3 linked regions of the Drosophila melanogaster genome follow. The protein of the gene in region 3 interacts with the protein of the main gene of each other region in a pairwise test. Each region holds a gene or a part of one and is shown on either strand. Other genes may lie near its edges. The genes, in order: CG2767, CG4461 and CG10051.

Region 1 (8,012 bases), on a different chromosome or scaffold from region 3:
TCTATGAAATAACTCATACTGTGTGCATCTGCTAACCGATGGCCGTTTATTTAACCAAGGACATTTTAAAGAGCTAGTTTTAGTGGCAAAACAGGGCATTATCGGCTGGGCGCAGAGCAATACGCAGACGATCCTCGAGGTTGCAGAGTCGTTGTGGCACATCATCCGGACCAACATGTCCATGATAATGGGCGTGACCGGGGAGATTCTATCCCTTGTGCTTTCGGGTGGACAAGCGTGCATTGAGTTTATTCTAGATATGGTAAGTGTATATAAATAGGCTTTTAATCAATACTAATTACTTAATCACACTTTCTTTAGATTGTATTCTTTACGGCTCTGTTCTACCTGCTCTCGAGCAGTCAGGAGAAGTACGCGCCCCTGCAGATCACAAAATACCTGGGCTATTCCAGCTCGGGTATCAAAATCGCCGATGCCCTGGAAAACTCCATTACCGTAGTCCTAGTCTCAATGTTTAGGTGCTCCACCTTTACGGGTCTGTTCACCTGGTTAGTCCATACGGTTTTCGGGGCCCGGATTGTGTTCCTGCCGTCCGCCTTGGCAGCTATGTTGGCTGCTGCTCCTTTCCTAGGCAGTTACTGGTGTGCGGTGCCAGCCTTTCTAGAGCTTTGGCTGGCCCAGGACCGCTTCTATGCAGGACTTATATTGTTCCTGCTTCAGTTTTTCGTGCCATCATCTTTTGAAACTGCTATATATGCGGACCTCAAAGGGTAAGTACACTTTTTTGGTGGGATAAATGGAATTTAATATCTCATCATTTTGCTAACATTTGTCAGTGGACATCCCTACCTCAACGGCCTGGCCATAGCAGGCGGAATGTATTGGATCGGTTGGCAAGGAGCTATTTTCGGACCCCTTATGCTTTGCTTCTTCATCGGCCTTTTTGAGGTGGCCACGCTGGCCATGCGCAGTCATCAAGAGCCCAGGTAATTAGACTTTCCCAAGCCAAATTCGATGAATTTGTTTAATTTGCATGCAAAGTATGAACCACATCAGACTTGTGCGGCAGGGATTAAAGTGAGTTATTTGCTGGCATGCTTATTTAGATTTAAAATCTTTTATACCATTGCAGAGGATTTTAGTAAGAAGTCTACAATGCAGGGATTCACTAGCCATGTCCGTCTGTCCGTCAAGGAAAAATTTCCAAAAGTTTTCTTTCAATGCAGAAACGGTCCAGAAAAGAATATTTTATTATACCGCCGTCAAGAGTAAGAGTATATAAATACTGCAAGGGTATATAAGCTCCGGCTTGCCGAAGCTACTTACTTCTTCCTTGTTATATCTTAATTTAATGAAAATCCTTTGCTGAATTTCAGGAACAGTACGGACGAGGAGCGGACCACGTGAGTTGGCATGGACCAGAAACTACGAATTTCCTTTTAATACTCGAACTGCGAACTAACATAAGCTGTGTGGCCAAATACCTGACAATCAAAATGAGATTGGCCCGAATATCATAACCTAGACATAGGCTGGAGCTTCCTTTAACTATTGTTGTTCGTTTCTCAGTTGCTAATCTTACCGCTTTGCGAACATTGATTTTTATGATATTATTCAATATTCCGTCTATGCAGCAAGCGCTCCTTAATATCTATTCTATCGATCTTAGTGTTCTTACATACAAAATGTACCTCGAATTATTTGTAGTCGCGAAACATTTCCAAAGCCTTCAAGTACCGATATCGTGCTCGCTACTAATTGCTTAATGTAAAATTGTGATGTGTTTAAACTTAGATACAAAATGTCTTGCAAATATATTTCTGTACTAACTAACTACCGCTGAATGCAAGCTTTTTTGAATTTGAAAGTGGTTTTCCAGCTCGATTCCTCGAAGGGTCAACGAAACTGTTAACGACAGTATAATAAAAACGAACGATAACACGGATGGAAAGTCTGTCATAGAGGGAAAACCTGTTGAGCTGAAAATCGTAACGAAAACCAAGACATTTCAACTGTTGAATACCAAAGAAAACCAGTAAAGAATTTGTATATAAATATCATAACTACATTTTATCTGTGTATAATGACCGAATTGCGAGTAATTACTTTTTTTATAACTGTTACAAAATAAATGGTTGCTTTTCTATACTTTCGACACAAAGTAATGTTTTGGAAAAGAATTTACTGCGTTCATTTGAATTCTTTTTATATAGCTATGCCGTTTAGTTCGTGTACTGATTCTTGAAGGTAAACTCAGGATGCCTTTCCACACTGTAAACAAAATAAAAATAAATAAATAAATAAAATAGAGGGATTAAAGCTAAGTCATATTTTTATACCCATGGAAGAATGCAAAGTCACAGATTCGAATATTCTGGTCCAGGCTAGACAACTTGGCCACCTCCTCGGCCGTCAGTTCGAAATCGAAGACGTCCAGATTCTGTTTAAGGCGAGCGGGATTCGTGCTCTTGGGAATGGCGGATACACCAGTGTCGATAATCCAGCGGAGGAGGACCTGCGCTGGCGTCTTGCCATGGCTTGCGGCAATCTCCTTCACCTCAGGGATGTCCATCAGGTCCGGCAGATCTCTCACGATGCCCGCTCCAGCATTAAACTTGGCGATTCCCTTGGATCCCAACGGGGAGTAGGCAGTTACGGTAATGTTTTCGGACTTGCAGAAGTCGACCAGATCTCGCTGCTGCAAATAAACGTGGTGCTCAATCTGGTTGTTGGCCGGCCGGATCTTGCAGTTCTTCAACAGACGGGCCACCTGATCCTTGCTGAAGTTGGATACCCCAATGGACTTGGTGAGACCCTTCTCCACCAGGGCCTCCATAGCAACCCAGATGGCTGCGTGGTTCGTGGTAACGTCGACCTCCATTAGGCCCTCCTTGTCGAGCTGAAAGTTAATGCTCGAGATGTGTATAGGAGTTGGGATTAGATTCCGTAGCACAACTACCTTAAAGCTTCCGTCCTCGTTGATATTAATTGTGAAGGGAGTGTGCACCAAATATAAGTCCACATAGTCCAGTTGCAGATCTTCCAGTGACTTTTTGATGGTTGGCTCAACTTCGTGGGGGCGGTTGGCTAAAACAAGGATTATATTATTATTATATTATTTTTGAAATAACTGGACTCGTAATAGTGAAAACTCTCACAGCTATATTTATAGTCATTCACATCAGGTTCATTTATCATATCAAAGAGTCATGTGGTGATAATAAAAATGTTTTTAAATTGAAATTATGAACACTGAAGGAGTCTATGTTGGTGTTTTAAAATCACGTTCCTAGTCTTATTTTATCAACTAGATATCAAAAAGAATATTGGTAGCTGGTGTAAAATGCTTTGGTTTCTATGGATCTTAAGATTCTGTGGGCATAGAACATAGGAACTATTTATAAATGTTTATATGGCATTTTGAAATACCATCCAACTACTAAATGCTACTTACAAACGGGTGGCACCTTGGTCACAATGAACAGCTCCTCCCGCTTGACCTTGCCGGCGTCCAGCCAACGCTTTAGGACTCTTCCGATGGCCTTCTCATTGCCGTAGACTGGCGCCGTATCTATGTGGCGATACCCAGCTTCCAAAGCCGCATCGATGGCGGTTTCGATTTCCTCATCAGATGCCTGCATTGTGGTGATGAAAGTGCGGTTTAGTGGTATTGTATATATATTGATTATAGGATTTGCATAATCTACACTACCCGAAAATCTTCAAACTCGATTTACAACGATATTTATTCTCCCGTGACCAGAGAAAGTCCAGTCCACCAGTGGATATGAATGGTGGTTTATTGTTTGTTTTTGAAAACCGGTCTAAAGTCCCCCAGCACCAACCAAATTGTTGATTGCATCGGAATCGGAATTTCAAGAGATTTAAATGACGTGTCAGCGATTTGTTGAGGTCATTAATAAGTTGAAACAATAGTATTAAGATTCGAATATCTACTATCCATTTAACCACTTACAAGCAATCTATGAAATTACAGAATTAACGTGATTATAAATACCTGCCAGGTGCCGATGCCAATCACGGGCATCTTCTCTCCATTGTTGAACGTTAAGAACTTGGTGTTGACCATTTTGTATTGATTTTTGATAACTTGTACACTAAAACAGACTTGAGTAACAGATTAAATGGAAAAGATGCGGCACAACCTGTTGCTTCGAGGATTGAATTGAAATTAAACAAGAAGCTACGACCCAGTCACCGGCCCACTTATCTCACCCAATCCAATGAGATTCTGCCTTTTGCAAAGCGCGGTCTTACTAGTCGATATTTGTTTAACAAAACAATCGAATTTAAAAATAAATGTACTTACCATAAATGGTTTAAGGCTCGTTTACTATAAAATATCGGACTAATTTATTTGCATTTTAGTTAGATTTAATATTATAACAATAGAAAAATTTGTAGCTCATATCCAAATACTGTATAAGTGTGTGTAAGAAAAATTCAATTCCGTTTCTAAATGATTTTAAGCTTTTAGAGAACAACTAATCCACCACTATGGAGAAGTTAGTGAACGTGAATTCTGAAAGTTCTGTAGTCTCACTGAAAATGCATTTGTCAATTCGACTGGTGGGGCTGCCGGTGTGCTTTAGCCAGAGGCGCCTGTAAAAGAACGGCTTGATAATTAAACGTTGAATGGAAAAAATCACTCACATGGACTCAAAGGAATGTCGGTGTGCTTGAATTTCGCCCTTCACCGTATTCTCGTTGGTGTTTTTGCACCAACCCCGGACTCCCAGCTTTTGAGCTCTTCGCAAGGTGTACTAAAACATGGTAATTGGATTACAGTAAAGAGATTTCACATATACAATAAGAGGTAGCAGAAAATCCATAGCTCAAAGGGGTTTTGAAGATCCCATTTCCCAGCAAGCTCTTACCATTCGAAATGAAACGCCTGTTGGTGCCAGATAACTAATTATTGCGACTATACGATTTGTGAATACCCTACCTTGCACAATGCCGAACACTTCGAATTGGCAGCTGAAGACCGGCTCATCGCTTCTGTCCGATGTTACTCTTTTTTGGAACTCTGTGTTCGAAATTCGGTTGGGCTCCTCGCTGCCTTTTTTGGATGGTGTACCTTTATCTGGTGTCGAAGATGGAAGAGTTACCCTCCTACGTTCACCCTCAGTCTGCGTTTCTTGGGAGGTCATTTTACAACTCGTATATTTAACATATTTGGAGCGGAAACTGTCAAAAATCGATAGGTCGATAGGGATTGAGGGTTTTATTTTGGGTCACCTTGAATTTCAATGGCTTTAAAAACAGTACATTTTAAATGAAATGACTTGAACAAGGTAAAACAAAAACAATAGCAAAAGTTACGTTTTCTTATTGTCAACAAATGAACACTTATGTTGAAAATTCGACAGCAATCCTAGAGCGGTATTTTTAGATCTAGCTTTTTTAGCCTTTTTTAAATCGTCGGTCGACCCGATCAGTCTGGTTCGGGCTATCGGGGCATGTAAGGGTCACCCTGTGTTCAAGGCGGTTCGTTGGAACCAGTTCCGAACTGTCTTTGAACAAAACAAAATCACCCAGACAAAATAGTGAATTACAAATATTACGCAGATTCTACATCAACGCACTATGCATACCGTGTACGCGCTTCTGAAGAACAAGCTGAGCGATGTGCATCCCCTACACAACATCGATCTGACGCGGGATGTGGCCTACCTAAAGGCGGTGGTGACCAAAGAGATGCACTTGCAATTCGACGCCAGCGAGTTGGGTGAGTGACCCTCGGGATTCAAATCGCTGTCCATTGTCTCTATTGTGTCAAGTCATTTGCTGCGCACTTGCAGAGATCATCCACCACGGACGCGTGCTGGAGGACGCAGACACCCTCAACCGAACGCTGCAGCCCAACGCCGTGATCCACTGCTTTCAGAAGATTAAACGTTACTCGCCGTATGTGCCGCCAGCCGCCGCCGAAATCAACACGAAGCATATTCAAGAGCTGTTTTCGTTGACCTCGCACCTGCAAATCAGCGTTACCTCGCGGTTCAACATTCTGCAGAAGATACTCGCTGAGTATCCGGAATTTAGGCGAAATCTGGGCGCCCAGGCCCTTATTCGCGACTCCGTACTGTTCAACATGCTGCACGAGCCGGAAGTGGTCCAAAATCTCGTTAAAGATTATCCCCTCATCTGCGAGGCCGCTCCATTCATAGTGGACACCATTCGCAAGGAGCTAGCCAGAAATAGCTCGGCCACGCAGTGTAACTAATGCCGTATCTATTCTTGATTTGTATATTTTACCCGTTTCTTCCTTTTTAGTGCAGGAGCAAGCTGCTTCGGAGTCTACTACTTCGTCAGAGGAGGAAAACTCTCTGGGTGCAGGCAGCAGCAGCAGTGGTGGAAGCAGCAGCACAGCCGTGGCAGCTGCCGCGGCCGCCAATCGGCGTGATGAGATGGCCAACATCCGTCAGATTAGCCGCCAGCAACTGGCTAACGCATTGGCTAACGTGACCCCGTTTAATTCACTGTCGAATATTGCGCAGAGAAACGCGGACGAGGCCGTGCAGGGTGATGAAAGACCTAGAACCACCTCGGCGCCATTAGCAGGCGTTGGAGGAGCAGCGGGAACAGGCGCAGGAAGCAGCAGTGGAGCCATCAGCAGCGGATCCATATCCTCAGAGTTGCTCCGCAACGAGCTGGCCCGCGCTTTTCAGTCCCTGTCGCAGGATCAACCGGCGCCTGTGGAGAACATGGAGGTGGAGTCCGGAGAAGGACCAGTACCAGAGCAAGCCGCCACAGCACCAGCCGATGATGTAGATGACGAGGACGATGGTGGAGACGACAGTGATGTGCTGCCACGCCGCTACCGTCGCCATCGGTTCACCGAACAACTGCGTACCATGGCCGCCATGGGCTTCATTAATCACACTCAGAACGTTAGTTATCTAGAACTTTCCGATGGGAATGTGGAACACGCTATTAATCTGCTTATGCTGAGCATGAATTAATAAGGATCGGAATTGACTAAAAAGCCAACATAATGTGCTTACTTTACGGACTTATATTTATTCTGCTGCTGAGGATTCTGAAGCATTAAACTCCCAACTTAAGCAAGGAATATCTCTTAATAACTTTTAATAATTAAATATACGTTTAGAGGAGTCATCTTTGTAAGCTAATTGGGGTGGGATTGCGGAGTTTGGGCATGGGGGTAAAAGCCGGCCGTACAAAAGGTTTCCACTAAATTATACTAGTTGATTAGATAGTCCAGCGCCTTGTCCTTATTATTGTTGAACTTGAGTAGCGCCGCCGAGATTTTCGATTCGTCAAAACCGAGGTCCAGAAGTTCTCCCAGTGGAATAAGGTGTTCGATAATCTGAAAAGACGTCCCAGATCGGAATAATGCATTTTGCAAAAGTTTTCGAAACTGACTTACCTTCTTATCGTCGATACCGCATAGACTAACCACCTTTGCCACCCGTTCCAGAGGGAAACCCATAGTACTGATACGTTGGGCCAACTTCTGTGCCGGACCAGCCAGCTCCCTAAAGGAGTTTCTGTCCACTGCCAACTCCACCGTTGGCTGCTGCTCCGCGTTGTGACTGTGCAGGCGGGTACGACGCTTCTCCGCCTGCTGCAGCTCCGTCTTCAGCTCCCGCAGGATGTCAGGCACACTCCTTGACTTCGTGGCTACCTCGTCCTCCGACTGGCTGAGCGCATGCACGGAGGAAGGCGCTGGAGGAGCCTTCAAAAGGTTTTGAGTCCCGAATCCATTGACTTGGTAGTTGCTAAACTGTTGGAAAGAATGCTGCTGCGGAGGGTAGAAGGGCTGGTGACTGTAGCCCTGCATGTGGTACACCTGCGAAAATAATAATTAGCCCATATTTTAAATCGGAGCGTCTGAAAAAAACTTATTTTCGATTGAAATAAAATATTGGGTATCGGACTAATACTTGGTTTATAAGACCATGCTAAGATCGTACTCAAGCTCAGTCAAAATATATTACACCCTCAATTGTGGTACTAATTAGTTTGAGCAATAGCCCCACCCTCGACTTGTGATGAGTTAT
Region 2 (6,860 bases), on a different chromosome or scaffold from region 3:
GCCAGCTCTCCGTTCCTTTTATTGGCCACCAGGTGATGGGCATGTGCACCCATCCGGGCAATCAGACCCAGGGTGTGCAAATCAAGATCATGATGCTGCCGCGAATGCAATCGCCTGTACATGCGATTCGGGAACATATCGTGGCCGTAGTACATGGAGTCCGGGGAGTCCAAATTCAAGACAAAGGGAATATCTGGCATTTTACTTTTCTTTGCTTAACTTCTTTGTGTATCTGGCGGAAGGAGGTTCGTTGAACCGACGACCTGTTTTCCTTTCAAAAAGTATCCAAGGGGTTGATTTGCCAGCGGGTGGTGGAATCCACAATCTCAGCTGCAGTTTGGCGCACAATTCACCTTGACTTTTCCGACTCGAATGTGGAGTTTAACGGTTTGTCTGCGCCCTTTTATAGAGACGGAAGAGCTTTGCCCATTGCCACAGAGCTTTTCTGGAGCAGCAACTCGTTGTTTCGTTGATTCTAGGGAGACAACTGGGAACCTTCTGGGGGCCAAGCTTTCGTAGACTGTAAACTGTTATATGTGATCCGCCATAAGGTATGTATGTATGTATAAAATGAGTGCAGATAGCAAGCTCTGTATTGGAGATCATACCATAAGATTTTAATTTCAAATTCAAAGTGAAATCGGATACAGATGAGAGGCGCAATCTCCAGTGTCAGCTGGACAAACAAGACGACACCACGATAATCAAAATGCGATAAGCAAGTACGCACATACATATGTACATACCCGAATCTTTAATCTTGAACCTCATAAATGGATCATCTGCGCCCAGCTGGCAAGTCAGTTGTTATTCAGCTGGCGAACCGGTTGAAATTCGTGCTCCGCCCCATAACTACAATGGCCACGTACGAACAGGTTAAGGATGTGCCCAACCATCCGGATGTGTATCTTATCGACGTTCGACGGAAGGAAGAGCTCCAGCAGACGGGCTTCATTCCAGCCAGCATCAATATACCCTGTAATAAACTACTTTCCCTAGTATTTGCTTTATTACTATGTGTTTTATTACTATTTATTTACTTAGTGGATGAACTGGACAAGGCTCTAAATCTGGATGGATCTGCTTTTAAAAACAAGTACGGAAGATCGAAGCCGGAGAAGCAGTCGCCAATCATATTCACCTGCCGGTCGGGAAATCGAGTCTTGGAAGCAGAGAAAATTGCCAAAAGTCAGGGATACAGCAAGTGAGTTTTAAAATTGTATTATAGTTGCAATAGTTTATATCGGATACATATATGTATGCTCATTTTAGTGTGGTGATCTACAAAGGCTCCTGGAATGAATGGGCTCAAAAGGAGGGACTTTGACGATAAACGTCGCTATATTTCTGAATAAATGAAGATTAATATTAATTAATTAATTAATTATTAATAGCTAAAAAAAACAGAAAACTTTAATTATTTGTTAATATTAAGCTGTATTTTTCATATATCTCAAGTTCTTGACTACACCCATGGCAAGCTTATCAATACACACACGTATACACTCGCACTCAGAAAGCTGTGCACTCCCACAAAACTTTCTCTCTCCCACTCTCTAATGGAGCTCTCTCAATCTGTCTCTCTGCGTATGGAAACTGACCTTCCCCAAGGCGCAACAGCGAGAGAGAACTTCGCTAAATGCTAAAATAAAAGGTAAATAAAGTAATATTTGGACACCCAGAGAGCCCCAGAAACTTCCACGGAGTTCGCTAAAGAACAGTGAACAACCCCTAACTAAATGCCATTGCCCGATTTCAGGCAAAGTGGAAAATTGCATCAGCAAAGGGCGAAGAAAATTCGAGAGAGTGCCGGTATTTTCTAGATTATATGGATTTCCTCTCTGCCAAGAGTATAAATAGCCACCGGTTGGACACTGCGCTCTCAGTTCAAAAAAACCAAACCAACTGCTAACAACTCGAAGAAAGTCAACTAAATTAAAATTTCGCCAGCTAAATAGAAATTTCATAGGATTGAAACTTCAGACAACAAGATTATCTTCGAAACATAGAGGAAAAATTTAAAAAAAAGCCAAGAAGTATTTCAAAGACAACAATTGGACGGAATTTCATCAAATTATTCGAATTTGCATAAGAAGCTTTTGTTGGAAAAACCAAGTTACCTTATTAACTACAATGCGTTCCTTACCGATGTTTTGGCGCATGGCCGAGGAGATGGCACGGATGCCACGCCTCTCCTCGCCCTTTCACGCCTTCTTCCACGAGCCGCCCGTTTGGAGTGTGGCGCTACCGAGGAACTGGCAGCAGATTGCCCGCTGGCAGGAGCAGGAGTTCGCTCCGCCGGCCACCGTCAACAAGGATGGCTACAAACTCACCCTGGACGTCAAGGACTACAGCGAGCTAAAGGTCAAGGTGCTGGACGAGAGCGTTGTCCTGGTGGAGGGAAAATCAGAGCAGCAGGAGGCCGAACAAGGTGGCTATAGCTCCAGGCACTTCCTCCGCCGCTTCGTCCTGCCGGAAGGATACGAGGCGGACAAGGTGACCTCAACGCTGAGCAGCGACGGCGTCCTGACCATCAGTGTGCCCAATCCTCCAGGCGTGCAGGAGACACTCAAGGAGCGTGAGGTGACCATCGAGCAGACTGGCGAGCCGGCAAAGAAGTCCGCCGAGGAGCCAAATGACAAAGCCGCCAGTCAGTAGAAATAAGTTAAGATTATACTAAAACCGATAAAATGCTAGTGAACTCCTATGTTTAGATATTCCAAAACCTATCAAATTTAAGTTCTTGTTAAATTAACAAGTTAATTTTAAAACAATTGTGATTCGGTAGCCCGCAAGCCCAATATTTTTATGTAGAAGAAAATAAATATTCGAAAAGACTATATGATCAAAATATTTCTTTCACTGGGAACACATTTGATATGGATAGTATTATAGATTATTATATATAATTTATATGTATCTGTCAAGTCATGAAAATGGATCCATTCGAAGATCTAATGATTGCCTTAGATGGAGATACAATTTAAAAGCCCCAAAAATACTTTCCATTTTGTTTGCATTCGTCTGACACCTTGGTCATGTAGCATCTTTTTCCGCTTCCTTCGATGATTCTAGTGACGTAGCCACTTGACGCGGGTCCAACTGGCCGTTTATATTGTCGTGTGCACCTCGTTGGCCTCGCCTTCACCGCTGCACTTGGCCGATCCGATCCGATTCGTTTCGATCCCATCCGATGCGCCTCGTCCGGATGACTCATCTATCGTCTCCGCCATCATCCGCCATCCGCAATCCGCATCCGGCGAGGCCAGTCGGCCATCTATAAAAGAACTGACGGCGGCGGCGACAAATTTTATAAGATTTTCGGACTCGTACATAAGCGAATCGCTGCCCTAATCCCGGCGAGAAATGTCTCTGGTGCCTACCACATATCGCGATTTGTCGCGCGAATTTGATCGACTCCGTCCGCTCTACCATCCGCCGTATGATTTCCAGCTATATCCGTATCTGTGGGACGATTCGCGTCTCTGGTGGCCATCGCCTCACACCAGCAGAAGTGACCTACTCCGACCTCTGGATGAGCTGGTGTCGCGTCGAGTGCGCAACCAGTTGATCCAATCGACGCCGTATGAGTGGGCGCATCCAATGAGGTGGGACAACTACTATTCCGGTGAGCGTGTCCATGTGGATGAGAAGGGATTTCGGATTGACATCGATGTGCGACAATTTCATCCCCACGACATTGTGGTCAAAACCAATGACGACTATGTCATCGTCCAGGGAAATCACAATCGTCGCGACGAGGGTTCCAATGGCCTGGTGGAGCGGCACTTTGTGAGGAAGTACCTTCTGCCCCGCGGATACAATGCCAATGAGGTAATCTCGGACATATCCAGCGATGGCATCCTCACCATCAAGGCTCCACCACCGCCGCCAGCCAAGTACTACACGCCCGGAGAGAGATTGGTCCGCGTTCATGAAACCGGAAAGCTGGCCCTGCCCTGGAAATAGTGGACCATGTGTCAAAAATCAGGAAGGCAAACAGTGAATGTGTTTTTACCAAACCCAAATCCCAACCATCGAATGCGCCTAACTCAAGGTGAACTATTTTCGGACACCAAGCAATTGCAGCCGAACATTTAAATTGGATTCAAACATAAATAAAATACAAATTGTACCCGTAGTTGATATAATAAATGCGCAATAAATATTTGGTAGAAACACTGGTGTTTACGAATGGGTCTTCACCTCGTCGCGCCCAATTCAAATCTTCAAATCGATATTTCCAAATATTTGCCTCTTTCAAAAACCAACTTTCATATACAAAAGTCACAACAATTTTAATTTTCCACACCAGGTGAACAAAAGGATTTATTAAATTAATATGAGTATTCTAGTCTTTAGCTCATTACAAATACAATGCAATAAATTAGGAACAATTAAGTAGGGGAATGATGATGGATGATGTTGGATGATGATGGCTCCTTTACTTGTCCTTGCCGTTGGGTGCTCCGTTCTCCTTGCCCTTCACCTCGCTTTCATTTGCCTTAACGTTGAGGTGAGCGGGTCCCACTTGCTGAATTTGAATGATGCGCTCCTTGGACTTGTCCTCGACGGCCTGCGGCTTGGGAATACTGACGGTGAGCACGCCATCCGACGACAGCTGCGAGACCACTTGCTCCGCCTTGTAGCCATCGGGAACCTTGTAGCGGCGCACAAAGTGGCGCATGATGTGACCATGGTCGTCCTGGCGTTCCTCATGCTTGCCCTCGACCAAGATGGAGTCGTCCACCACCTTCACGTTGAGCTCACTGGGCTTGAACTGGGCGACGTCCATGCACACCTGGAATCCATCCTTGCCCACATGGGCGGTTGCCGGCCAGTGAATGTCGTTGCGGTTGGCCATCTCGCGCCGCAAAGCCAAAACCTGGCCGGCGGGCGACGATGGGCATATCGGCGATGCGCAAGGGCATCCGTTGATGGAACGGCGCTGCTGAGTGCCAAGGGGCAGCACGTAGCGGGAATGCGGATGCAATCCCAGTCCAAGCTCGTAGATGGGGCTGCGGGGCTCCTGGAGTTCATCCACAAGCGAAAGCAGAGTAGATAGCGACATTTTTACGTTTCCTTTAGGTTATGTTCCTTTTGCGAGATTGAAATATTTTTTCTTTGGTTAAGTTGAATGAACTTGTTTGACTTGTAAGCAAAGGTTTTTAATCCTTTTTTTTCTCGTTTGAAGTTTTGCTTTTGCGCAAAGTTGCTTTGAGTTGTTCACTGCTCGATTTTTGAATTCGATCTGTGCTCTGTTCGTCAAGCGACGCTGCTTTTATACCCGCTGGAGCTTTTCTAGAAGAGTCCGGAAAGTGACAGAAAAAGGAAAGAGTAGAGAGAGAGAAGAGAAGAGAGAGAACGTGCACAGAGAGAAAAAATTATGAATATAGCTTTGTATCGTTTGATAAACGAGGGATCAAATTAGAAATTTCTTTTATAAAAGTCTAAATTGAATGCTGCTCTAAAAACAAAAAATAAAACTAACTAACCTTTCCCAATAAATGCCATGAGTTTCGAGAAATTTTAAATGTAGTTGTTGTCGTACGCGCAAAAGCAGAGCTAGTGCGCCTGTATGAGTGAGAGAGCCGAAGTTTCTAGAGAGTTGTTGCAATTTTCTAGAAAGAGCGCAAAAGAAACAGCCGGCTAACGGCAAACAAAACAAAACGTCAGTTTTTTTTATTCTGGTTTTCCTCTTTATTAAGTACATTATTTCGTGTTTCTGTCTTTAAGTTTTACTGGAATACTTGTAGTTGTTGTCACATATGTTTTTTAGAAAATCATACATACATATAACGCCAGCAATCTCCCACTATTAGTAATTGAGTGCTTTTCCCGTCAGCTTTCTCGCTTCTTTTTTTTTGTGTGAAATGCAAGAAAAGAAAACACAAGAAACACGTATGGAATAAAACGCACGCCTACCCGTGCAGATTATTATTTGTTCTTAATTACTATTTATGTTCTTTCTTTTAGTTCAGTCTTCACTTGGCCAGTTCCTCGGTTTTGGCTGCAGTGGCTCCATTTTCGCCTTGGTTTTTGGCCAGTAGAATGGCCGCATCTACGGCTGCCAGTTCCTCGCCGCCCTTCTCCTCCACTTTCTCTACTTTATCAACCTTCTCCGCCTGCTCCTCTTTGCTGTCTTCCGTGGAGATTTCCGGTTTCTTGGCCAGCGGCATTTCCACATCCTCGGCTGCTGCGACTGCTCCATTGCCGTTATTCGAGGCAACGGGCACTTCGTTGGCATTTGCATCCTCTGCCTTTTGCTCCTCTTCGATGCTTATAACGGGATTGGGTGTGGGTTCATCCACATTGGCAGTCTCTTCGTTTTTGGCCAACGCCACTTCCATGGACTCTGATTCTGGTTCTGCAACGCCATTGTTGGCACTGGAAGTGGTTCCTGCGGTGGAAGGGGCTTCCACTGCAACAGCAGCGGCAGCAGCAGCCTCATTGGAAATGGGGGGCGAAACAGCCGGCATTTCCATCTCTGTCTCTTCCTGACCGTTGCCGTTGCTCTCGGCGAGAGTGAGCGAGAGCGAAGGAGTGGGTGTGGGTGCAGTCGGATTTAAAGTGGAAGTGGTGGCACTAGCTGCCGCCTGCTGCTCTACCTCTGACGGCTTTGGCGGCTGCGCATCCTTATCCTTCTGCTGCTGCGATATCTGCTGGATGTCTACGATGCGCTCCTGTCGTTCCAGGCTGCCTTTGACGACTGGAAGTGGTGGCGGCGCCTTCACCGTCAGAATGCCGTCCGAGGAGAGGGTCGAGTGCACCTCGTTGGGATCATAGCCCTTGGGCAGGATGTACTTGCGGATGAAGTGGCGCGAGATCACCCCGTGGCCATCCTCCTTCTCGTCGTGCTG
Region 3 (9,482 bases):
TGGAGTTGCTCTGGGCATTGGTCTGGTCATATCGATAGCCCTGTTCCTGGACGCGGTGAATCTACCGATGTCCTGGTTTTCGCAAAACTGGATGCTCTTCGGCTTGTACTTCTGCCCCATGATTTTTGGTATGGGCATTGTGCCAGCTATTTACTTTAGTCGCACTAAAGAGGTGAGTTTGAGATATTGTTAATGTAACTTAATAAATATCATAATTTAACTAAATCCTTTTCAGCATGGTTTACCCCTGGGCTATGGCATTCAACTATTGATGCATTCGCATTGCCTGATCTTGACCATTATCACCGCCATAATGGTGAGCTATAGTATTCGTTCCGCCTTTGTCATAATGCTCTGCATCGGCTTCTACACTCTGTCCGTGCTGATCAATTTGGTAACTAAGGCACACAAAACAAGTAAGACCGATCCCCTTTATAATTAATTAATTAATTAATAAATAATTATTAATTATCTTTCAGATTTCCTGTGGCTCATACCGCACTGCATTTGCCAGGTGCTGCCATTCATGTTCTATACTTACTGCTGCTATGCCTTCTATGTGGTTTTTGTGCCCATGCAGGGACGCGAGTGTAATACAAATCCGGAGATTCTAATGGGTTTCTTTACGGCGCTAATGGTTCTACTATTTGCACCCTTTCTGGTGCCCTTGTTCTGTCTGTTCCGCAAGTCCAAGACAATTATCTCAATGTTTGGCATCTGCACGATAGTGTTTATCATATTTGCCGCAACACCGATTGCCTTTCCTTACGCCGAGAAGACGGCGCCCCAAAGATTCTTCGCTGTGGTATGTCCTTTATTTTTTTAGATTTTTACTTTATAGTTCCTAAGTATTTTATTCTCTTACAGCACACAGCAAGAACCTTCCACAATGGCGATCCAGCGAGCACAGTGAGTCATAAGGACTCGGGATACTTTGTCCTTCCGGTCGATCGACGTCCTCACACCGTGGATGATATTCTCTTTGAAAACACAAACTTTACAAAGTCAGAACGTATTGATTGTGACTCGGAGCTCATGTGCGGATTTCCCATTTACAGCTCACGCTGGTTAAATGCAGTGTAAGTTGTAAAAACATCAATCAACTTACCTTTACTCATCGTTTTATTTGTTTTCAGTGATAACAGCTATTTTGTTCCTGGTCCCGAGCCAAATAGGGAATATATTCCCACTCTGACTATTTTGGAAAAATCGAGTAATTCAGATACAAATATTAGGTTTGATCTTGAGATCTCAGGACCGGATCACACGAGCATATTCATTCTGCCCTTAAACGATAGCAAATTGGTGGATTGGTCCTTCATTAGGGATCCGCTGGATGGAAATGTAAAGCCACCATACTACGTGTACTGGTCATATGCATTAGATCCCAAACCCTTGCAGTTTTCACTGGAATTCGAGGTAATAATATTAATTAAATATTATACTTTAGAGGGGTAGTTAACTCACTACTTATTTCCAGCACGAAGATCCAAATTGGTCGGGAGGCACTTTCAAAATAGCCCTAATGGGTCATCGAATACACGATGACATGTATATTACGGAGGATTTCCGTGAGTTCCTGGCCACGTTTCCGCCGTGGGCGCATGTTAGCTCCTGGCTGGGATCCTACAATAGTTGGCAGCTTTAAGTGTAGACTCAAAGTTCCTTCACGAACTCAACTCAATCCCATTTTTGCCATGACACCTCAGCTACTCTTAATTCTGGTACTGTTGATGGAGTGTACCAATTTTACCTAATCCAACGAACAAAGTGTCGATAAGCATGGCACGTCCTAAATTGTATTAGTATTTACGATTAGAACACTGTAGTTACTACTTTGTAATTTTATTAAAATATACTATAAATTATTTATTAAGATACGCCAACTTTGGAGTCTATATTCTCATCGCCGCCTAAACAATCCAGCTCTCGAGGGCCGAGAACCAATCGGTGGTATATGTCCAATCGGGGAAGGTTGCGAGGAATTCCTTGTATTCCTCGGTGTAGTACTCTGGATGGTATTGGAAGTGCTCGGATACGACCAGCTTCATGTAGGGTCCGTCTGTGTTGCCCTCCTCGTGCTCGAGCTCCACCCAAAAGTTGAGCGGCTCCTCGGTTTGGGAGTATATGGCATAGATCAGATAGGGAGGTGTGTGCTTCTCCACCAAAGGTGTATGATCGAAGGACCAATCTGTCACCTTGACATTGTCAAGCGGATCTATGTACATCATAACGCGATCGCTGGCCCTCAGGTTGTACTCATATCGTACCTTGTTGCCATCCAGAGATTGTTTAGACAGCTGGGTAAGGTTTATGTTCATTGGAATCACAGGTGGCGAGCTGTAGATCCAACGAGCAGAGTCTCTGTGATGCAAGCAGAAAAAAGTTTAGATACCAACTAAGGTCAGGTTACGGTCTCTAACATACTTCCATTCTATCCAGCGACCACTATACAATGGAAGTCCACAGTACGGTTCTGCGGCACAGGTGGCTGCCGTCCAGCTTTCCGGCTCGGCGTTCTTGAAAGTTGTGTCATCCAATTCATGGAGTCGTGTATCCACAGGTTGAATATAATAACCCGAGTCCTGCTTACTTGTACCATCCAAATTGTGGAATGTTCGTTGTGTGTGCTGAAGGATAAATTAAGGGATAAGCTATACAAATATATGGTTAAATATATTTAAGAACCTACCAGCACATAGTAACGCTGAGGAGCCAATTGCTTCACAAATGGAAAACCGGCGGATGTGCAGGCCAAGATGATGAAAATAATTGTGATCACACCAAACGATGAGAATATAATCTTGGGCTTTCGGAACTTGTGCATAATGGGAATCTGCAAGCATATGCTTAGAAAATCTTGAAACAAAAATTGATTGATTGTATCAACTTACAACAAAACCAGCATAGTTTATTGCGGTTGCAATGATAAAGACAGATATCATTATATCGGGACTACTTTCGGGTCCATCGCGACCCTCCATGGGAACAAAGGTGACAAGGGTCGCATAGCAGATGTATGTGTAAAAGAAGAAGGGCAGCACTTGGAACAACAGGTGAACTGTGACGAAGTAGCTCTCTAAATTGAAAGAATAAATGCTTTAAATATCATACAAATATTCTCAAGATAAATACTCACTCTTCAGGGTGAGTTTCAGTACTATTTGCACCAGAACGGAAATCGCGTAGAAGAAGATGCCCACCATGGGGAAGTAGCTGGAGCGAATGCCCATGATGGTCATGATGATACAGAGCAGCGCAAGAAGGATGCACTGGGCGTGCATGAAGCAGGCGATGGTCTGATCCAACTTCATGTTCGTTTTCCTCTTCGTGAATCCGATATAAGTGGCCGGAAGTATGCCAAAGGCGAAGAACAAGGTGCAGAAGTACAGCCCAAAGGCCATCCATTTTCCGTAGTACCAGGATTCGGCTAGACCCACACCTTGCATAAAAACGGCCACCAAGAGAGTTAAGCCGCAGGCCACGAACAGAGTTCCCGCTTGAACCAGGAAGATGATGGCGAATCTCAAAACCACCGCTTTCGGAGCATCTGCACCATTGTCCAATGTCATGATGTACACCGAGGTGCCAATGCAAATAAAGGCCGCCACAGAAACCACCACATTGATGGCTATGCTCACCGATTCCGTATAGGTCATCATGAACCAGCCTAAGAAATCATAGTACACGGTGTGTCCCTTCTCATACGCAGTGGTGTTATCCAATTCTGGAGCATTGGCCAGAGCCCAAATCAGGGGCAATACGTTCTCGCCGGTCGACTGGTATGTACCATATTCGACGTTTTTAAAGTTATCAAACTCGGTGTGGTACACATATCCATTCATCACACTGGCCATATCCAGGCCAGGAACTCCTCCGTAATCGCGGAAGATGCGGAAGTCGGTGTCCGAGGGAATAAAGTTATGCTGGAACAGCTCTTCGGCTAAGGTCTGAGCATATGGATGCGGCACACTTGCTTGATAATATTTGGCCAACCACGGGTGATTGGGTCCCGTTTGGAAGAGCACCTCACGGCCACCAGCTCCGGTCGAATCCAGGTTTACCAAGGCTCTGACATTGGTGGAAAGGAAATGAATGATTTCGATTTTTAACTTTTGCACGGTACACCACTTACTTGCAATTCTTGGACCATTTGTGTTGTGTGATAAATCCGTGGGAACCCAGCATACAAGCCTCCTCGGCTCCATTAAATAGGAAAACCACGGGATGGGTTAGCGTTCTTTCGGAGCGTGAGATTACGCGCAGGGTTTCCAGCATAACAACCACCATGACGCCATCATCTCCAGCAGCCGGCGTTTGGACCTCCGAATCGTAGTGGGAGTTGACCAGCAGATAGTTCTCGTTGTCTGAACTCTTCTGCGATATTTTCACTACCACATTAGAGAGATTTGTGTAGGAAATGGTCATGCCCCACAAATGGAAGGCACCCGAAGAGTACTGCGTGTCCACTTCAATGTCATAGAGATCCAATCGGGCTTCGTCCTTGATCTTCTGGATCTCTCGCAGCAGGAAATTGATCGTATGCACTTCGTTGTTGATGGAGCCACTCATCTTATTGCCGATCGCCGAGTACTCGGCCAACTGGCGCATCGCCCGCTCGCCGATAAACTTATCCGGATGCAGTGCCTCCTCACTCTGGTACAGCATCTTTGGGTAGCTGTAAAAACTGGGCAGTACGGCGGCATAGAACAGAGCAAAGGCGGCAGCCGCGTAAATGGGTGCTCCGAACCAAGGCCATTTCTTATCCCTGGACTTGCCGCCATCCTTCTCCTCTGTAATGTCAACGGTTGAGAAAGACATCTGGAATATGAAATCCGAAAGTTATAGGTCGTAAGAAATAGAGGTTCCACACAAAAAACTTTTTAAGGGAAATCTATGCAAACCAAATTGTAAGAAAACGTTGCATACTTTTTGGCCCCAAATAAAAACGATATTCGCTTTTACGATATAGGGATCGGGAATAATTTACAATTATCTCATGCTATATGAGTGGTTGCCAAATCGAAGTCTCCATCGATTGGAAGCCATAAAAGTTTTGAAATTATCATAAATTGCTCCAATTGGAGAGTGTAGAAAGGTCGTAAAGAAATTAGTACCCTACAAAGCAATTAGGTTTATGGTCTCCAAAATTTAAAATACCAAAAAACAGCAAACGATAACCAGACCGGGTCCTATTTTATGGCCGATATAAACTTTCTTATCGCCTATGGATACTCGTTTGAGAGCGCAGGAAACTAGGCTCTTTTGTTCGGCATATTATATCACTTCGTAACGAATCCATTGATTTTTGCAAGCCTATCACATTTTCAAAAGCAATTCTTAGATTTTAAAGGAACACAATCACTTTGGTGAAATATGGCAAGGCATATAGGCACTAACCTTCAGATCACACGCGACTCGTACCGGAATCACCAACTATGAAATACAACCGTACCAGGGCCCAGCCGTTGGGCAACTAAGAAGCTCCAGGCTGGTTCCCAAGAATTAAGTAGGGCCCAGCTCCGGTGCGTTAGATTTCTTATCGCGTCCATGGCAGCGATAATAATTAAATATTATGATTATAATCGTCGATTTCGGCGCATAAAACGATTACATCCAGCGATAGGCGATACCAGAAGCATTTTCTCTTTATAACTTTTTTATGGAACCGTTGTTAACGCGATTAGGACTCACGTTCGGCGGAGATCTTTCGGTGGGGTCCAAAATCTAAAAAAATCTACATAAAACGTACATAAAATAATTTAGATTTGCTTGCTCTCTTTAATTTGGGGAAGTACGGACCGTGTTATCGAATCACATAAATTAACAACGTGTAAGTTAGATAAGAACACAAATTAAATAGAATTATACATTTAATAGTAGTTCAACACATTTTCTTGTACAATTTAGGTAACATTAATAACTAAGTAATAATTAAAGACAATGCAACAAGTGGCATTAAAATTCATGAATTAAATGACTTGGTGGTAAACCACCCCACAGACCCAAAATAAATTTAAACCATTTTTTTGGTGCTGTATATTAGATTTTTGGCTCAGATAAGAATACCTGTCTGGCACTGGTTGTTTCTTATTGCCTTAGGTTTTTTTTTTATAGCGGGACTAAATACTAATAAATATGTCTAAGCTGGACGTACTATAGGACAGCTCATGATTTACTACTGTGAACATTACAGGCTAAACGAAAATTTTGGTCACACGTTTATTAAATTTGTGTTTACCTCAATGATAATCATTCGGAAATGTTCAACTATTCATGCTGATAAGCATTCGGACATATTAAATTATCAAATCCTAATCTGGCAATCTAAAATCAGTCTGCATCACACTTTCCGTGAATGGACATTATGAAAAATACTCTATTTTTTTGGGGGCGATGTGCGATTTCGCCATTTATATTTTTGCGTGGGACACAAGTTGGCTAAACTCTGGACCATAAATTCTAAATCTATGGCCGATTATTTCCCGACGAGGCCATAAAATTCGAGTTAATACCAATTTTGGACATTCATTTTACGGACACCGAAAGTACATACACTCTTCTTGGTAGAACAGTCCTCATTTCTACATTCATATCATGTAGAAAATACATTCTACGTTTAGGAATTATGTAACTTTCAATTGGCGATATACAATCGCAACACTTTGATATCGGCCGCATAGCTTAGGGGATTAGTTATTATTAATTATTGATAAATGAACAGCCCAATATAACTGACGCTTATCAATGATTATGGTTTTTCATATCTCAAGAACAAAGTTCTTACGATATTTATTTTACGAAGGTACAAAAATGTATACATTAGATAGCTTCTCTAGAAGATCCGGCTCTCGAATGAAGCTGGCCAGGGTGTGGCATCCACATAATGGGGGAAACTGTCGAGGAACTTCTTAAAGTCAGGCGTTATTAGTTCCTTGTGATGGTTCCAATGGCCTCCGAGCCCAAGTTCCAGAGTAGAAGAGTTCCAATTTCCGTTGGGTTTCTGGTCGATGTGGAAAATATATGTATAGACAAATTACTTTTGCGAGTTTTCCATAACCTACCTCTAGTTCTAGCCAGAATTTAAGTGGATCTCCATTGACACCCCACGAGAAGTAGATGAAGTAAGGTGGCTCAAAGCTCAGACGTAAGGGTGCCTGTAGTTGTTGAGATATTAACATTGAATTCAGACTTATGTGACTTTAATAATTACCTGATGGAAGGACCAGTCCATCATCTTTGCTCCGTTCAAGGGCTGTATAAAGAGGGCCATGTGATTGGGTCCACTTAGCTGCATTTCATAGCGAATTTTGGTGGGCGACACTGTATTCTTGGAGAGCAATAAAACGGTTGGCACATTCTCGCCAAGAACAGGTTCCGATGCGGGTATCCATAAACTGTTCTTTCTATAAGGACTCAAATGTATTAGTTTACTAATTCATACTAACTTTTTGAGTTGGAAACTAACCTGGTCTTGTGCCAACGCTGATTATATAGGGGCAATCCGCAATTAATTTCCTTATCGCAATCGGATCCAATTCTTTGGGCCAGTGTCATGTTGATAACAGCATCTTAAAAGGCCAAAAAAAATTCCATGAATTAACCTTTCAATATAATTAGTCCACCTTACTTTTCACGGTGTAAGTGCGTCTGTCCTGGGGCATAATGAAGTAACCAGATTCCTGACGGCGCACTTTGTTTTGAGCGTCGTGGAAGGTACGCTTGGTGTGCTAAAAAAAGGAAATCCTTTTTACTTATCAATACAATATAACTTTGTAGTTTCTTACCAGGACAGCGAAACGCTGGACATTCGTTTCTGGGCGATAGGGGAATCCAATTGGTGTCATTGCAATAATGAAGCACAATAACGTGATGCCCATCAGGCCGCAGATGATGGTCTTCGATTTGTTGAACAACTGCAGAACAGGGATAATGAAACCGCAGCAGAGGAAGCCCACAGCGACACTGAAAACAGCCACCGCCAAATCCGGATTAAGGTTCTCTCCAAAACGACCAAACATTGGAATGAACGTGGTGAAGAATCCGTGCGAGAAATATGCAAAGAATACAAATGGTGGCACAGTGCAAACAATGTGCGGAATGACCCATGCGACATCTATTGGGAATAAAAAGACATATTAAAAATCAAACTAAGCATACTCTTATAAATACAACTCACCTTTGGTGTGCAGTTTGGTGGCAATATTAATGATCAAGCCCACTGTATAGAACAAGCAACTGAGCATCAAAACAAAAACAGAGCGAATTCCACAGATGGTGAAGATCAGGGTGAGAACAGATAAAAGTAGGCAGTGGCAGTGCAGCAAAAGCTGAACCCGCTGACCAATGGGAAGCTTATCCTGAAAAAAGATTTAGCTTTAGTCAACCAATAAATCATACCAAACTATACATACACGCTTGGTCCAGTGGAAGTACAAGGCAGGCACTATGGCCAAACCGAAGAAGAAAGTGGTGAAGTAGAGACCCAGGATGAGCCAGGAGTTCGAGAACCACGACAGAGGCAAATGCACCGCATCCATGAACAGACCGAGCAAAACTGGCAGGATGGCTCCCACAACAACAGATAGAATCTGTACGAGGAGTGTGTGCCCCACCTTCTTGAGGATCTTTTCGAGCTTTATGCCCGAGTTGACCGACATCAGCTTAAAAGCGTAGCCACAAATCCCGATGGATACCAAGGAGACGATGACGTTCAAGATAACGCCTTCGGTTTCGGTGTAGAAAACCAGAAACCAACCCATAACATCGAAATAGATGGTGTGACCTTTGGCGTATTTCTGAAAAAAGAAAAAGGCAATTAGTAATTTATCATTAAGATCTGTATCAGCCATGTTACCGCTGAATTCTCAATCTCCGGAGAGTTTGCAATCTGTCGGACCAAAGCAAGCAGATTATCGCCAGTATGCTGGAAACTACCCCTGGGAAAGATCTCTGCCTTGTCGTGTCGCGTGTGGTAGACAAATCCGTTGTAGGTGTAGGCCATATCCAAGCCGGGAACCGATCCATGGTCACGGAAAATGCGGAAGTCCGTGTCAGAGGGAATGAAATTGTGCTGGAACAGCTCCTCGCCCATTGTAGAAGCATACGGGTGCTTGATGGCACGTCGGTAGTTCTTCATTAGCCAGGGATGATTGGGTCCCGATTGGAAGAGGATCTCTCGACCGCCATTTCCGCAGGAATCGAGATTGATAAGGGCTCTGTAAAGGATAAATGAAAGTATAAGATAAATTCGACAAAATTTAAAGCACTCATTTGACCTACTTGCAATATTTGGCCCACTTGTGCTGGGTGATGAAGGCATGCGAGGCCTGAAGGGGATTTTCCTCGGCACCATTGAACAGGAATACCACAGGGTTCTTTAGTGGCTTATCGGACTTGGCCAGCACACGGAGTACCTCCATCATAGTGGCCACCATGGAACCATCATCACCAGCACCAGGTCCCGCCGGCACGGAATCATA

Evidence for each region.
Region 1: the proteins of CG10051 (region 3) and CG2767 interact in a two-hybrid assay, tested with the Drosophila melanogaster proteins (one large-scale study listed by BioGRID).
Region 2: the proteins of CG10051 (region 3) and CG4461 interact in a two-hybrid assay, tested with the Drosophila melanogaster proteins (one large-scale study listed by BioGRID).

The regions. Positions count from the first base shown.
Region 1 is NT_033777.3:8,003,917-8,011,928, forward strand, and holds CG2767 (uncharacterized protein), read right to left. Parts: upstream 4,195-8,012; 5' UTR 4,052-4,194; coding exon 3,980-4,051; intron 3,597-3,979; coding exon 3,416-3,596; intron 3,049-3,415; coding exon 2,921-3,048; intron 2,861-2,920; coding exon 2,301-2,860; intron 2,233-2,300; coding exon 2,184-2,232; 3' UTR 2,008-2,183; downstream 1-2,007. Other genes in the region: CG2698 (uncharacterized protein), read left to right, coding at 72-262, 322-731, 798-947, 1,338-1,364, 1,841-2,000; CG11052 (uncharacterized protein), read right to left, coding at 4,467-4,584, 4,636-4,745, 4,860-4,876, 4,931-5,135; CG3223 (uncharacterized protein), read left to right, coding at 5,572-5,713, 5,787-6,203, 6,262-6,950; CG10435 (uncharacterized protein), read right to left, coding at 7,193-7,318, 7,379-7,801.
Region 2 is NT_037436.4:9,372,118-9,378,977, forward strand, and holds CG4461 (uncharacterized protein), read left to right. Parts: upstream 1-3,312; 5' UTR 3,313-3,366; coding exon 3,367-3,969; 3' UTR 3,970-4,176; downstream 4,177-6,860. Other genes in the region: Hsp67Bc (heat shock gene 67Bc), read right to left, coding at 1-200; CG4456 (uncharacterized protein), read left to right, coding at 858-978, 1,045-1,204, 1,273-1,327; Hsp22 (heat shock protein 22), read left to right, coding at 2,134-2,658; Hsp26 (heat shock protein 26), read right to left, coding at 4,445-5,071; Hsp67Ba (heat shock gene 67Ba), read right to left, coding at 5,985-6,860.
Region 3 is NT_033778.4:19,359,645-19,369,126, reverse strand, and holds CG10051 (uncharacterized protein), read right to left. Parts: upstream 5,487-9,482; 5' UTR 5,401-5,486; intron 4,822-5,400; coding exon 4,136-4,821; intron 4,072-4,135; coding exon 3,140-4,071; intron 3,080-3,139; coding exon 2,895-3,079; intron 2,837-2,894; coding exon 2,693-2,836; intron 2,631-2,692; coding exon 2,428-2,630; intron 2,365-2,427; coding exon 1,914-2,364; 3' UTR 1,833-1,913; downstream 1-1,832. Other genes in the region: CG9416 (uncharacterized protein), read left to right, coding at 1-172, 236-416, 480-805, 868-1,079, 1,137-1,419, 1,481-1,648; CG11961 (uncharacterized protein), read right to left, coding at 6,836-7,003, 7,065-7,157, 7,214-7,406, 7,469-7,571, 7,631-7,730, 7,788-8,116, 8,180-8,360, 8,415-8,798 and 2 more.